Linked DNA regions of Oryctolagus cuniculus. The protein of the gene in region 2 binds, or shares a complex with, the protein of the main gene of each other region. Links are inferred from orthologs where the notes say so. Each region holds a gene or a part of one and is shown on either strand. Other genes may lie near its edges. The genes, in order: CNTN4, PTPRG and CNTN6.

Region 1 (5,021 bases), about 35 Mb from region 2:
ACCCTGAGACCCTGGGGGCCTGGACACCAGACCTCCTGCACCCTGAGACCCTGGGGGCCTGGACACCAGACCTCCTGCACCCTGAGACCCTGGGGGCCTGGACACCAGACCTCCTGCACCCTGAGGCCCTGGGGGCCAGGACACCAGACCTCCCACACCCTGAGACCCTGGGGGCCAGGACACCAGACCTCCTGCACCCCGGGGCCAGGACACCAGACCTCCCACACCCTGAGACCCTGGGGGCCAGGACACCAGACCTCCCGCCATCCTGCATCTCTGCTCTGTGTGCATTTATCAGCAGCAGTTGGTGGAACAATGTCTGCTACCAAGGCACACATTTCACCAGTGTGTGGTCAAGGTTCTTTCTGAAAGTCATTGTTAAAAAAACAAAGGCCAGTACATCAGGTACAAACTCTGGCCTGCCTCCCTCCTCCTTCAGACACTGCTGTGTATTTAAAAAAAAAAAAAAAAAAAAAAAAAACACCAGAAAAAAGAATTCCCTACCCTCACACCTGCCTATCACAAGAACCACAGTCGTTTAATCACAATCTTAGGAACCCAAGTTCTCACAAAAGATGAGTTCCTTGAGAAGGAGATGGGAACTCATTTTTGTGTCTAGGGCAGGAACCGCAAAGTGCGCACGTGAAAAGCATTGACTATCAGACGACACGGGTGGAGAAGCCTCTCTGAGAGTGCAATTAGGTTGTGCTCACACTTTCACCTCGACTGGAGTCACAGGTGCCCGTGAGCCTTCAGGAGAGCCAGGAGAGTGTGCGGTCACGGCCACGGTGTTCCGTGCTTACAGGAGAATGAGCTGAGAGCCTCGGGCAAGCCCCGAGGAACCAAGCCAGCCGCCAGCCGCCCCGTGGAGGGCGCTCTGTAGTCACCTCATCACCGCCCACCTGGCTTTAACTCCGCCCACGCCCAGCGGCCCGCACACAGGTGCCTCTCAGATGCTCAGCCTCTAGGGCCCGCCTTTGGTACAGCTGGTAAAGCCCCTGCCTGGGAGGCGCAGGTGGAGCGCCAGTTGGCGTCCCGGCTGCCTGCTTCTGCACCTGGGCCGGCGTTAGAAAATGGTCCGGGTCCTTGGGCCCTGCACCCACGTGGGAGACCTGGAGGAGCTCCTGGCTGCAGCCTGGCCTAAATCTGGCTGTTGAGTCCATTTGGGGAGTGAAGCAGTGGTAGAACACTACCGCGCGCGCTCCCCCTCCCCTCCTGTCGCTCTGCCTTTCAAATAAATAATCTCTCTTTCTTAACAATCTCAGCCCTAGTGGTAAAGACGAGTTCTCCCGCGCGCGCGGCGCCCTGGCAGGGCCCAGAGTGGACAGAACGAAGTTTAACGATCAGCCTCCGCCAAGAGGCGCAGCTGCGATCGGCAGAGACCAGCAGCAAACCGACGTTCTCTGGAAGCCCTGAGCCCTCGCCCTCGCCCTCGCCCTCCTCCGCTCCCGGACCGCGGCGGAGGCGCACAGCCCCGGATCCCGAGGAGCCGGCAAGCCTGCACCGAAGGCGAAATCACCGCAGAGCGCCTCGCGGAGTCCGCGCGTGACGCGTGCGCTTCGCGCCCACCCGGGCGAGGAGAGCTGACTGGGACGCCCGGGGCGCAAAGGTGCCGACCTCCCCCGCGTCCCCGCCTCAGTCCCTGAAGAAACGACCGCCCCCCCCCAAAAAAAAAAACAGACATGGGGTTCCGCGGGTGTCCCAGCCGCCAGCCCAGTGGCGTTCCGCCCTGAAACACCCGACTCCCGCCACCGGCGCCGCGGGCGCTCCCATGCAATTAGAAGACACTCTTCCCACCCCGTGTCGATCCAAGCGGGAAAAACAGAGAAAGTTCCCGGAGCCCGACTCCCCGCACGTCGCCCAGACCGGCCAAGCCCCCCACGCAGGCCCTCGCCTCTCCCCGCGCTGGCCGCGCAGCCAGAGCGCTGAGCCCCGACGCGCGCCGCGCGACCTCCGGCAGCCTCGGCGCGCCAGACCCCGCGCGCCCGCAACCCCGCGGCCGGCTGTGCCAGCGGGCGCAGCCGTGCGCGGCCACCGGGGAGCCCCGTCCTCCCGCCCTCACCTCCACGCCTCCCATTAGGAGTCAGACACCGGCTCGAGGCGCACAAACGGGAAACGCACGCAGCCACGGGTTTGCGCCCTCTGTCTCAGGAGAGCGCGCGGGGGCCGGGCGCGCCTCTCGCCGCTGTCTGGGTCCAGCGAGTGGACAAGGTGGTAGCCCAACGTACCTCACCAGCTCCTGGAGACCCCCGAAAAGTTGCTGGAAAAGAGTGCCGCCCCTAAGGGCGCCCTGGTAGAAGCTGGGAAGCCAGGAGCGCTCCGCCCGAGCGGGGACGCGGCCACTGCTCGCCGCTGCCCAGACGCCTGGCCCCGAGCCCGGTGCTCGGCGGGGCCCCGCACGCCGGTCTCTGTCTCCGCGGTTTTCCGGTCGCGGCCGCGGCTCCTGTTCCAGCGGCCCTGCCACCTACAGCCCACGTCCGCCCTCCTCACCTCTGGCCCGCAGAGGGAACCCCGCTAGCGACCGGGCCATCATCTGCGCGCCAGGGGCACGTCCTGAGCTGGATGGCGGAGCGGATTTCAAGGGTCCCCTAGCATTCCCGGCTCGGAGCTCGCTTCGCAGCGCAACAAACTTATGTTCTGGCTGAAAGGGAGAAGGGTCGCCGCGGCCCTGCCTCCTCCTGGGCTCGCGGCGCTCAGTGCCCGCGGCCAGACTCGGAGGGCCGCCCCGCTCGCTCGGGCCGGTCCAGCCCTGCATGAGAGAGAGCCGCGGGCGGGCAGCTCCTCTCCATCCTCCAGCCCGCAGGAACCCTGTTTTTCCCCAAATCCGCGCTCCAGGGAGCCGGGAGCAGCGCGCGCATCGCTCACCTGAGCCGCACCTGAGCGCGGTGTTGGCAGGATCCGCGCGCGGCGTCGGCACCGGCCGGGGTCCCCGTGCAGAGCGAACCTTCCCACTTGCGGCCAATCCTGGTGTGGACCTGGAGCTGCCTGGTGCCGCGCTCTACGTCCTCCTCACGCTCGCGGCCGCTCCAAAAACCCGGCGCGCCGGAGTTCGGGCTGCCGGCTCCGCGGCCGCGGAGAGGAGGGGCGCGCTGGGAGTGGAGAGGGGCGGGGAGCGGGGAGGCGCCCGCGCGTGGCTGGGATGCGGCGCGCGGCCGAGCTGGGCATGCTCAGAGCACTGCCGGAGGAGGCGCGCGCCGAGGCGACGCACCTGCGGGGGGAGCTTGGGGGCGCAGATGGACTGCCGCTGGGGAGGCGCGCCTGGACCACTGCGCGAGAACTGGTAGCGACGCCTCGCTGGTCCCCAGGCCCGCGGAGACCATCGTCCCGGCTCCCGAGCAGGGCGTGGGGGCTGCAGGCCAGGGGTGTGTCCGAGGCGACGTCGCTGAGCACCGGGGCACAAGGAGGCGCGACCTGCCCGTACACCCAAACCTGGGGCGCATCTTCAGGAGGAGCCGGGGCTGGGGGCGGGCGGCGGAGCGGAACTGGAGCAGCCGGAAGAGGGACTTTTACCTGCGCGTGCTCCGCGGAGTCGCTGCGCTGGAGGGGCCGTGGCGAGGCGCGGGGCCAGGGCTGCGCGCGCTGGGTGGAGCCGCGTTTCTCCTGAGGGTTTGCTGGGCCCGCATCTGCGCACCCAGAGCTGCAGCGGCCGCTGGCCGCGTGCGCCGCGTGCAACCCTGCAGCTCCTGCCTGCGAGTGCAGCAGTCTTGTTCGCTCAGTGTTGGACTGGGGATTTGTCTGTTGTTTTCATTTATTTTATTATTTAAAGGAACTGTATTCAGGGGCCAATGCTGTGGCTTAGCAGGCAAAGCCGCGCCTGCAAAGCCAGCGTCCCATACGGGTGCAGAGTGCACTTCCAGTCCAGCTCCCTGCTAATGGCCTGGGAAAGCAACGGAAGATGGCCCAAGTCCTAGAGCCCCTGCTACCCAATGAGGGAGACCGGATGATGCTGGTGGCTCCTGGCTTTGGTCTGGCCCAGCCCTGGCCATTGCAGCCATCCGGGGAGTGAACCAGCAGATCAAAGACCTCTCTCTCTCTAAGCCTGCCTTTCAAATAAATGTTTACAAAGTAAAATATATATATATTATATATATAATTTTCAGTAAAAACATACAAGAACAGCAACAGAAGTGGATGCAGGCGCCCTCTGAGCGCACAGAACCTCTGAGACCAAAGCTCAGCCTGTGTCCTTCTCCCGGGCACCACAGGCCAGGCAGGTCTCCACGTTCCCGACCGGGTCCCGGTAACCCCCGCCGCGTCGTCATCCGGTTATGCGAGTGTGCCTCTCTCTCACCTGGATCCTGGGTCGGGCGCCCCGGCCCTGGGCTCGGGTTTGCGCGGTCCACAGCGGCAGTGGCAGCAGGGCTGGACCCGGTCGTGGCACTGGGCGTCCACCGCACCGGGACCCGGGAGCCGCCTCTCTGCCGCGCCCACGGACAAGCCCCGGCCAGCGCTGCCCCAGCGTGTCCCGACGGACCGCGGCTTCTCCTGGCCTGGGGGAATCAGAGCTGCAGCCTCTGCTGGGAGACTCCTTGTGTGAGGGAGTGGGGGTCGGGGCTGCTCGCCGTGAACATTCCAGACAGATCCGGGAGGGCTGGGCGCCCATCACAGTGGCTGCGGTATCCGGTGGGTGCTCCTCAGGGGGCGCGGGGAGCCCCAGGGACACAGTTCTCCGCCAGGCCTCCTCCCATGGCAGCGTCCACCCACAGCAAGTTCCACCCCCACATCTCCTTAATGCAGGAGTCCATTTGGACACGAGTTCTCCCTGCACACGGTTATTAAACCGGTTTCAACGAGGTCTGATCACTCAAGGGGAGTCAGCCTGGAGAACGTTTTTGACTTTTTGGAGACTGGGGCAGAATGCATTGCACAGGTGCCACTCAGTCCAGGACACTCCTCTGCCCCGCCCACCCGTCATGCACCTCCCGAGGGGTGGGCTTTAAAATTTTATCTATCTATCTATCTACTATCTATCTATCTAAAAAGCAGAGCAGCTGAGAGGTAGAGAGCTTCCATCTGCTGGT
Region 2 (5,016 bases):
AGCCCCTGCATCCATGTGGGAGATCCAGAAGAAGTTCGTGGCTCCTGGCTTCAGATCAGCTCAGCTCTGCCCGTTGGGGGCATTTGGGAGTAAACCAGCCGGTGGAAGACCTTTCTCTGTCTCTCCCTATCTGTCTGTAACTCCACCTCTCAGATTAAAAAATTAATTAATTAATAAAAAAATTGTAATAATACAGTAATAAGGTGCCAGGGAGGCTGCAGACACAGATGAACAAAAAGCTGGGAATTGTGGAAGCTGGGTGGGGGGGTTGTGTCTATAGGGGTCCATCACGTTTTGTTTTTTTTTTCTTTTTATGTATTTTAAAAGATGCAGGAGGAGGTAACTTGCCTAATATCATGTCTGATGATACTTCCGCTGTGCACTTGGAAAGCATCAGTGGAAGCACTAACTGTGACCCTGGTCCCACACCTGCCATGCTGCTGTTGAAAGATTAAAGGCCACTACTGTTTCCTATCCGCTGGGAAAAGACCCAAGCCAGGGCTGTGCTTCCAAAAGGCTCCCCACACTACAGCTACCTTGTACCCTGGGCAGAGAACTCAAATGCAAACACAAATGCAAAGTTGGTACCATTCCAAAATAAGTAACAAGGGATTTGGATCAACATCTCACAAGGACCCTAATCCAAAATCAGGAACGTTTTTATCCCGTGTGTCAAACACATAAACGCTTCCTAGGTTCTGGGAGGCAGAAAGTGGGGGTTTCAAAGTGAACCGCAGCCCCCACCGGGTTTCAAGCCGGCCACGAGCAGCAGCCCGGAACCGAAGCCACCTCCTCGCGCCCAGATGCATCTGCAGCCCTCAGTGCCTCAAAACCTGGGCGCGCGCACCCCATTCCTGAGGCGTGGAGATGGCCGAGGCCAGCCCCAGGAGGTGGCAGTAGCCCGACCAGTGGCTCAGAGGCGCCCCCTGAAGTCCAGCGGTGCCACGGCACCTCGGGGTGTTGGGGGGGGGGGGGGAGAATGCCAGCTCTCCCAGCAGTGTGACATCTGAACTTTGCTGGCTTCAAAAGCTGCTACATCCCCTCGGGCCGCACTTTTCCAAATCAAACCCCGCTCCCCCCTCCCGTCCTCCCCCATCCCCCCCGCCCCCCGCGCCTCCCAAGGCTGCGCCTTCCCTCTCCCATACCACTGGGCTCCCGGATGAGGGAACGGGCTATTTACCTCGCAGCGTGGGCACGAAAAGAAAATGAGAAAGGCGAAAATGGTCCAAGCCCCAAGCAGGCGGCATCCCTGGCGATCCCATTTTGGATCGCAAGCTTCCTCGGCTACCAGGAACACGAACATCACGGTGGGCCCACTGACTGCATCCCCACGCTGAAGAAAGCCAGAAATGGCCATGGCAATGCCTCCCATTTCCCAGGGTTGCCCTCCGCTACCTCCCGTGACCCCGTTAAGGCAGGGCCATAGCAAAGCTCGACCCTGAGTGCATCTGAGCCCACTCAGGCGGCAAGTTCGCGGCCGAGAGGGGGAGTCTAGCAGCGGAGATGGTTAATACAGATACTGAGCAGTCTTCAAGGAACAGGGAGAGACAGCGATCCCACTCCCGTGGGCGCTGGCCCCGGCCGGGCATGTCTCCGGCCTCCGGGTTAGTGTGGACGCACGTCCCCGTTCAGTCTCTGCCTGGGTTTCTGAACTGTGGCAGGAGCTCTGTGCGGCTCCGGGGACAGGGGGATGCGCACAGAGAAACAGGGGTGCCCAAGGAAAGACAGGGCTTTCTCTGCCTCTGCGCCCCTCTAGGCTACTCCCGGGCGTGCAAAGGGGGCACTTGCTGCCAGTCTCTCCCCTGAGCGGGTCCGTACGGGGGCAGCGAAGACGCCCGCGCCCTGCTCCAGGGTGCACGACGGGGCTGAGCGATCCGCTGCACCAAAGCCCGGCGCTCCAGCCGCCCGAGGACAGGCGGCTGGAACTGGGCACAGCGGAAATAACGGAGCACGTTCCTCTTTCTCCTGATTCAGATAACGGACACCTATATGTATCCGGGAGCGGGCGGATGAGAGGGCACACAAACGGGGGATTGTCCGTCCTCAGGAGATGGAGAGGTGAAAGCGAACATCTCCTTCCCTCTCATCCGTATCCCCACTCCAGGGCAGAGGACGTGGCCTCCATCCCCAGAGAGGGGGCCGGACAGCTTCTAGGGAGATCAGGGCTGCAGCCTGGGGACCCTGCAAGAGAGAGGGAGGCGGCTGGCCACTGCCCTTCGGGAGGGAAGGAGGCGTCGGCCGGCTCAGAGCTGCAAGTGGAGGGTCGCCGAGCCGCACACCTCTACGTGCAGTGATTTATTATCGTCATCAATGGCCAATATTGTTCCTGTCTCAACCTGGCCAGAAGGGAGCAGGTCTGGGTCTGCCATCCGTGAACAGCCTGCAAAAGGCAGAGATGCAGGTAGGCAGGGCGCGCGAGACGGGGAGAAATCCGCCCCGGCGCGAACAGCAACCCAGCCGCCGGCCCGCCCCCTGCGCCCCGACCCCCGCGGCCCCGCGGAGCAGAGGGAGCAGAGCAGCGGAGGAAAGGGGCCTGAGGGAGCCTGCATCTCCCTAAACCGCTCGCTCCCGGTCCTCCCACTGCGCCCAGGCAGTCTGCCTCCCGCAGGCAGCCAAGGGCAGCCCCACGCCCCCAGCAGGGGGTTGGAGGGGGGCCCACCCCCGAGAGCAAAATGCAGGCTGCTCCCAACATTCCCCACACCCTCAATCCTCCGCCGTCAACCTCCGGCTTCCATACCAAATACCAGTCCTCCCCAAGGGTCAGAGATCAGCAAAGCGAGGCCCCTCTTTCTGACCTCTTTCGATCCCTACCGGAGAGAGGAGCACACCCCAGACTCCCCCCAAGCCCACAGAGGCATCCTCCCACGGCCTCAGTCTCCCCAACGGCCCCCCAACTCTACCTCTCCCGATTGGCCGCGGATCAGCAAAGCAAGTCCCCTCTTCTCCCTACTCTGGCTCTCCCACGGCACCCCCAAACCCAAGCTGGAGCAAGAGAATCCCGGGTACCTACTTCTCCTCCCCGGGCGGTCCCCGTCTCCACCCTCCCCGACAGCCAACCAGCCTCCCTAAACATCGCCAGGGCTGGCGGAACAGGTCTCTCTCGGTCCTGGGCACCCGGTTCCCCGCCACCCCCGCCGGGGTCCCCAGCACCGGCGCCCGAGCTCCGCGCCCCGGCGACAACTCCGCATCCCCCCGCGCGCGCCGGCTGGGGCCGCGTCCCCTCCGAGGCCGGCACTCACCGGGGAAGCACACGACATAATGGAGCACGGAACTGGTGATTTTCAGGAACAAAATCCACCAACACGGTTCCAGTAACCTCCGCATGTCCGAAAACGCACATCGAAAAGACGAAAGCAGGGGGGGATAAACTTGTTGAGTAAGTTCTCGCTTCGGTACGAGCCTCCGCTAAGCCTGGGCGCTTCTCCGGCTCGCCCGCTCCACGGGCCCCCCGCGCTCGGCGGCCCGAGTCCCCCTGGAATCCAGGAAGCCACCGAGCGCCCCCCGGAAAATCTCAAAAAGTGACCGCGAACGCGGAGCCTCGCTGGGGACGCTCCTCTCGGCGGAGACGGGCTGCGTTCCGTTCAGAAAGGCGCGAGCCGAGCAGGCAGGGCGAAGAGGCGGCGGGCGGCGGCGGCGGCGATGCCCCGGGCGCGGGGCAGGCAGGGACCGCAGGCGGCGGCGGCGGCGGCGAGCGGCGAGGATCCCCAAGTTGAGAGCCGAGAGCCGGCGGGCGGCGGCGGGGCTGAGGCGCGGCGCGGCGTCTCCGGGCTTCAGGCAGGCAGCTCCTTCCAGGGCCCCGGGAAGGAAGGAGGCATGTTTGCGAGCGGGGAAGGGGAGGGGAGCGGCGGGAGGAGCGAGCAGCCCCCCAAAATAGAAACGGCCGGAGGAAACCGAGGAAACCACAAAGGATCTCAGAGGGGCGCTGGGGCGAGGGCGCCTTCAGTCCATGCTCCTGAAAGTTGTGGCTCCGGCGCAGGCTGAGGAGGAACGGGGAGCGCGGGGCTGGAAACTGGCCATGCCTCCATACAGGAAGTAACATGTGAGCATGGATCCTGGCAGAGACTTTAAAGCCGGCGAGCGAGCGAGCGAACGAACGAGCGAGCAGGGGGCGCGCAGCGGCGCTGGCGGCGGGGGCGCGCGGCGGCGGGGGCGCGCAATCCTGAGCAGGCGGCGGCGGGCTCGCGCCCCGCGCTCTTAAAGCAACCACGCTCGCCTCCCGCCTCCGAGGGGTCCCGCAGCTCCGCGGTGGCCGCGGGGCCCCGGGGAATGCAGGCTCTTACAGGGGGCGCTTAGGGGGACTGGGGACGACGCCCGCCCGGTTTTGCAGAGAGGGAGGAGGCTGCCTTCTAGAGAAGCCAGAGTGTCTTTGCCAGATTGCCGTGTTGCGAGATCTTAAAGACGCCGCGCGCTAGATCCCGAGACCACGGAGCTTGGGGATCTGGGACTTGGGGGGACCAACCCCTAGCCTGGGCCTGGGGATAGAAGGTGGGCCAGCCAGCCGCCTTTTTAGTGCCGGAGTGTTTCCTGTTCTGCTCCACCGCCTTGGCAGCGCCGCGGCGGGGCGCACCGCTCGCGCCCCCTGCTCGCGCCCCCAGCCCAGCGCATACCCGGGCTTGGAAACAAAGCCGAGCCAGCGGCCTTTGCACTCAGGTTACGTTGGGATTTGATTCCCACCCCCACTCCCACCCCTTTTCGGGCTTCCATTGGCCGAGTCCGCAGCTGGGGAGAAGGGGGAGGGGACTGAGATCGATCCCGGGCTTGCAAAAACCAGCTCTCTAGAGCTCCACACGGCGGATCGGTGGCTTGAGTTCTCCCAACTCGCAACTCCGCGGGAGACGGTCCCCGCGCCCCGGGCTGGCTGCTGGAAGTGCGTCCCTGGCCCGGAGCCGGGTGAGAGCAGCGCCGCGGGGCAGAGCTGATCTGGCCGCTACCCAACGAGCCGCCGCTGCTGTAGCAAGCGGGCAGAGGCGTCCGGTGGTCGGGGAGGGAGCGGGCTTATCCGCCGTGAAGTCTCGT
Region 3 (5,207 bases), about 36 Mb from region 2:
TTCCTCCAGGCCTCCCACGCGGGTGCAGGGCCCGAGGACTTGGGCATCCTCCACTGCTACCCCAGGCCTCAGCAGAGAGCTGGGCTGGAAGCGGAGCAGCCGGGACTTGACAAGTGTCCGTGTGGGATGCCGGCACTGCAGGTGGCGGTTTTACCCTCCGTGCCACAGTGCTGACCTTAGAGATAATATCTCCTTAAACTGCCCGAGGAAGTTGTGAGATACAGCTGAAGCTCTGTAGCAAATGTTGCAAGCCCATAGCCTTTTCCAGGCGCGAGGCAGTGCAGCCGTCAGGGAGAGGCGGTGTGCAAGCCAGGACCCGTGACCCCGGGCCTGTGAGCCAGGCTGGCCCTGTTGCTGAGGTGAGGCTACCGGAAAGCAAGGGCCGACCGTGTCCCCTTTCTGATCTGCGATGTCTTCCATAGATACTCATGACCTGTTGCTAGGGAGAGTGTACGACACCTGCGCGGTGGTGACGGCTCTCACCGTAAGATGATGTCCTGGAGGCCCAGCACGGTGAACTGTCTGCACGCTGTGCGTGTCCTGTGACTGCACCGCGCGCCTGACGCTGCTCCCGGGGGCGGCTGTCTGCAATCGGCAGAGTCTACCTGAAGTCGGTTCAGTCTAGGAAAACCGGCCTCTTCCAGGCTTCGAGACGACTCCTGACGAGCCTCCTGGGACGCGCTCGCCCCGGGAGAGGCTGTGACCGGGGCCGAGGCCGCCATGCGCCTGTGCGGGGCGCACGAGCCGGAGGACCAGCCGGGGCCCGCGCGAGCCCTACCCTGGAGCACCGGGGACGGAGCTGGGGGCCGCGGGAGGACCCTCAAGGCTGGGGGCCGCCACCGGGCGCCCGGGGCAGCCCCGTCCCACTCAGGAGCCAGGATCTCGCTCTGATTTCCACTGCACACGGCGTACGCGCAGGACAGGGACGTGGACCCTGTCAGGGTGGAAAATCAGGTCTGGGTTCGGCCTAGAGCGGTGAGGACCCCGCGCCCAGACTCCGCGCGCCTCGCGTGATGCACACGCAGGGCACCCCGCGGCCGCGATTTACGTGCTGCCCGCTGCGCTTGGGCGCACGCTCCCGTGCCTCCGCTGGGCTCCGCACGCGCTCAGCGCTCCTGCACACTGCGCACGCGCACAGCCTGTGCGGCCCGCCTGCGCGCTCCCGTGCCTCCGCTTGGCTCCGCACGCGCTCGCTCGTGCACACTGCGCACGCGCACAGCCCGTGCCCGCCGCCTGCGCGCTCCCGTGCCTCCGCACGCGCTCAGCGCTCGTGCACACTGCGCACGCGCACAGCCTGTGCCCGCCTGCGCGCTCCCGCGCCTCGCGCCCGCCCCCGGGCCTGCGTTTCCGGGAGGAGGGGCTGTTTCGCTGTTCTGTGACTGGTGCCCGTGTTGTCCTGGTAGCTAGTGCGCGCTGTCAGGCGGGAGCGCTGAGGTCGTGCGCGTTCCGGAGTCAGCCGGGCAAAGCCGGCCGCAGCCGGCCGCTGACGCGGAGGGAGCGCGCGGGCCGGCGCCTACAAACGGCCGCCCTGCGCATTTCCGCCCCGCAGCCCTCAGAACGCAGATGGAGCCCAACAATGGCGTATCTCCCTGCTGGGGAGCACTTCACCGCCGGCTCTCGGGCTCTGCGCCCGGCACTCGGGACTCTGCACCCGGCTCCCGGGGCTCTGCGCCCAGCACTCGGTACTCTGCACCCGGCTCCCGGGGTCCTGCGCTCGGCACTCGGGGCTCTGCACCCAGCTCCCGGGGCTCTGCGCCCGGCACTCGGGGTCCTGAGCTCTGCACTCGGGAGTCCTGAGCCGACTCCCGGCTCTCGGGGCTCTGCACCCGGCACTCGGGGCTCTGCGCCCGGCTCCCTGGGCTCTGCGCCCGGCACTCCCATCACCACCGGTCGAGGCTTGCGGCCCGCCATGTGGAGCTCTGCTCCCAGGACTGGAGCTTCGGCGCCCGCCATAAGGTGCCGTCACGGTCACTCGAGCCCCTGCGCCCGCCATTCGGTCCCTTCCCGCGCCAGGCCCCAGGGTCTCTGCGCGCCATGCGGTGCTGAGCTTCCGTCTCCTGTGTTGGATGCGCTTCCCGGACCGCGCTCAGGGCGGCTGGCCCGTCCTGCGGAGAGGGCCGCACGCGTCCCTGGTCGCCGAGCAGGCGCTGCCTGACCCTGGCGCGCTCTGGCCCGGAGGGCGCGTGTTCACGCGGCGAGGGCCTAGGGTGCCTCTCGGTGAGTCGCTCGGTGTTCGCCTCGTGGCTTAGCCTCACGGTTTTATTTAACGTGGAAGAGCACCTCAGCTCACCTCACGCGGAAGAGCCGTCGAGGGGGTTCCTTCCGGTCCGCTGATGTTTGGGACGGTGAGATCCTCAGCCAAGTTCACAGTGAGCACTTCCCAGGGAAATAAGAGAGCCGAATCTGCACATTTCCAAGGCCAGGACAGGCAGTGTTGATCCCGGATGTGTTTGTGCCGTATGGTGAGCAGATATCGACACATTTTCCATAAAACATCTCCTGAGGTGGACTGCAGTGGCGCGAAGTGAAATCCAGTCTTAATCCTGCAGTGCACCTCGTGTGGATGACAAGTCATTCAGCCCCCGGCAGTCATGTTAGTACTCCGAAATCCTTCCGATTGCGTTACTGTTAGAAACACACGGTTAGGAGGCCCCATTATGGACGTTGTGTTCATTTCTAATTTTTGTGTGTGTGTTCCTAGAACATTTTAAAAGATAATGAGACCATTTCATTTATGGTACTCTGTAATAAATTTACATAATGAAACGAAGATCTAGTTTGACTTAAGGAAATTTTAAATACGGTGTGAAGGTTTTATTTTGAACTTAAAGCAATATACATTTCAAACAGTTCAACAATGCAGAGTTGAAAAAGATCTACTTTCTTTGCTCCACACCTAAACTCTTTTTTTTTTTTTTTAAGATTTTATTTATCTGAGAGAGAGAGATACAGGCAGCCAGAGGGAGACAGAGGAAGGCCTTCCATCTGCTGGTTCACTCCCCAGATGACTGCAATGGCCGAAGCTGAGCCGATCCAAAACTAGGAGCTTTTTAGGTGTCTCCCTCCTAGGGTGCAGGGACTCAAGCTCTTGGGCGTCTTCCACTGCTTTCCCAGACCATAAGCAGCGAGCTGGATTGGAAGAGGAGCAGCTGAACCGGAGCTGTTGGAGGCTCAGCCTAGGAGGCCACAGCGCCAGGCCGCACACCTGAACACATAAACTCTTCAATTTGGCACTTGACTAGTGTTGTCAGATTGACAAAGCTGTTGCAACTTATTGTGCTTCCAGTAACATTCTTTTCTACCTTTTAAAAATATTTACACATAAGAGTAAAAATACTAAAGTTACTAGTCTGCAACTTGCTTTTATTATTTAACTTATTTTATTACAGTTTTCTAGGTTACTACTTATAGCTTCTATATGAAAAGCATAGTTGGTGTTTATTAGAAATATGTGAATATTTCAAAAAATTTGAAAAGGTAATTAAGAGGTAAGTTTCTTTTGATGCAAAAAAATGAAATCGATGCACATGAGAGTTCTTCATAAACAACATTGGTTTCACAAATTTTTTTGTATCAAAGCAAACATATCTTTTAATTACTTTTCCCACAGTCTTTTAGAAGTGCTTTTATTTGTGCAATAATTTGCTGAATAATTTCCTGCTCAAAATATTTAAATAATTATCAACAAAAATGCTACAGCAAAACTCCTTTACACACACCAGTGGCCTTAGAGCACGTATGGTTTCGTTTCTTGTCAGAGAAGAAGAATCGGGCATTATTGTATATCAGGCTAAGCTGCCGCCTTGAGATGCCTGATTGAAATTGCAGTTCCTGTGCTTCTGACCCAGCTTCCTGATAATGTGCACCTTGGAAGGGAGGGTGTGATGCCCAAGTGCTTGAGCCCTACCACCCTGTCTGCTAGACCTGGATGAAGTTCCGGGGCCCCAGCCTAGGCATTACAGACATTTAGGAAGTCAACAAGCAGTTAGAAGCTCTCTCTTCCTCCCTCCCTCTCTCTCATATCTGTCTCTGTCTTTCAAGAAGATGGAAAAATAAATAGGTAAACAGTAAGAATAAGAATGTGATATAATTTACCAGTGTATAGACAGAAAATAAGAGCACCCTCTTTGAGAATGCACTTTCACTTTTCTTCCCTCCTCTCTGCTTCCCTCCTCTGCCCCTCTCCTCCCTTCTCCCCCACCCTCCCTGCCTTCCTTCCATCTTTTTTTATTTTTCCTCCCTCTGTCTTTTCATACTCCTTCCTTCCTTTCCTGCATTCTCCCATTTTTCTTTCTTAGGTTCCATGCATCTCTTCTATGTTTCTCTTTTGCATTTTATTTTATGTAGCTACAAAAAGTTACTTTTCCAAATTATGAAAATCCAGATGTTCTTCTGCTTACTAAGTAGAGAAGGGCAGTGTCGAACATAAAATGCTTGCTTGCTATTGATTTTTCACATTGACACTTAGACTTGGAGCTCTGCTCCCAGGACTGGAGCTTCGGCGCCCGCCATAAGGTGCCGTCATGGTCACTCGAGCCCCTGCACCCGCCATTCGGTCCCTTCCCGCGCCAGGCCCCAGGGTCTCTGCGCGCCGTGCGGTGCTGAGCTTCCGTCTCCTGTCTTGGGTGCGCTTCCCGGACAGCGCATCCAGCGTTAGCAGGCTGAGGAAACGATCCTCCACGCGGAAAGCGCACACGTGTCTTTCCTGGTGGTGATGTCCTGGGCTGCTGAGGCAGTGAAGGGAACACAAGTTTGTGTGAGGACTGCTGTGCTGGCCCCATTCTATGTGTCATAGTAGACAATTTGTTCAGTTCTCGTATCTCACTAAAAGAAGATGAAACTATCATGATAGTGCTGCTAAGTGGAAATTAGGTAACATATGTCACACGCATATAAAAATGCGTTGGATTGAGCCAAAGTTCCGAGAACTCAAAATTTGAGGAAGCATGAAAGCCGTCTTGCCATTCTTTCCATTATAGATGCCTCTGCATGCTTTAGCTTGATGCCTGTCCATCATTGCCTCTCTGAGCTTGTATAACGTAAGGAAATCTGTTTGCTGTCTCCCTTCCCAACCACTATAACAAATCACTCCAGGTTTCATGATATGACTGCATACTGGGAAGTTTTCTTTCAGGCCTTTCAGCAGTCATTTGAAGAGGTGGAATGGAGCTTACGCATTAGGGACTGTCTCAGAGGCCCACAATAGC

The links.
Region 1: the proteins of PTPRG (region 2) and CNTN4 are in contact, whole or in part, in a crystal structure (PDB 3KLD), measured with the Mus musculus proteins. The link is inferred for Oryctolagus cuniculus from reciprocal best matches to the Homo sapiens genes PTPRG and CNTN4. Residues at the interface, in NP_033007.2 of Mus musculus: Lys222, Val225, His226, His227, Lys229, Phe288, Thr290, Gln293, Asp294, His295, Val296, Lys297, Ser298, Val299, Glu300, Tyr301; in NP_001103219.1 of Mus musculus: Thr128, Arg129, Ser130, Val132, Ser133, Arg135, Gln138, Gly139, Met140, Val141, Leu142, Leu143, Cys144, Gly145, Val219, Met220, Gly221, Glu222, Tyr223, Glu224, Pro225, Lys226, Glu228, Leu250, Asn304.
Region 3: the proteins of PTPRG (region 2) and CNTN6 are in contact, whole or in part, in a crystal structure (PDB 5E5U), measured with the Mus musculus proteins. The link is inferred for Oryctolagus cuniculus from reciprocal best matches to the Homo sapiens genes PTPRG and CNTN6. Residues at the interface, in NP_033007.2 of Mus musculus: Val225, His226, His227, Lys229, Phe288, Thr290, Gln292, Gln293, Asp294, His295, Val296, Lys297, Ser298, Val299, Glu300, Tyr301; in NP_059079.2 of Mus musculus: Arg129, Val132, Arg135, Gln138, Gly139, Val140, Val141, Leu142, Leu143, Cys144, Gly145, Met222, Gly223, Tyr225, Glu226, Pro227, Lys228, Glu230, Leu252, Asn306.

What each region holds. Positions count from the first base shown.
Region 1 is NC_091441.1:122,981,368-122,986,388, forward strand, and holds the start of CNTN4 (contactin-4), read right to left. Parts: upstream 3,102-5,021; 5' UTR 2,877-3,101; exon of another isoform or gene 2,866-2,876; intron 1-2,865. UniProt on the Homo sapiens protein: Contactins mediate cell surface interactions during nervous system development. Has some neurite outgrowth-promoting activity. May be involved in synaptogenesis.
Region 2 is NC_091441.1:88,359,932-88,364,947, forward strand, and holds the start of PTPRG (receptor-type tyrosine-protein phosphatase gamma), read right to left. Parts: upstream 3,374-5,016; 5' UTR 3,325-3,373; coding exon 3,240-3,324; intron 1-3,239.
Region 3 is NC_091441.1:123,971,205-123,976,411, reverse strand, and holds the start of CNTN6 (contactin-6), read left to right. Parts: upstream 1-1,817; 5' UTR 1,818-2,217; intron 2,218-2,223; exon of another isoform or gene 2,224-2,593; intron 2,594-5,207. UniProt on the Homo sapiens protein: Contactins mediate cell surface interactions during nervous system development. Participates in oligodendrocytes generation by acting as a ligand of NOTCH1.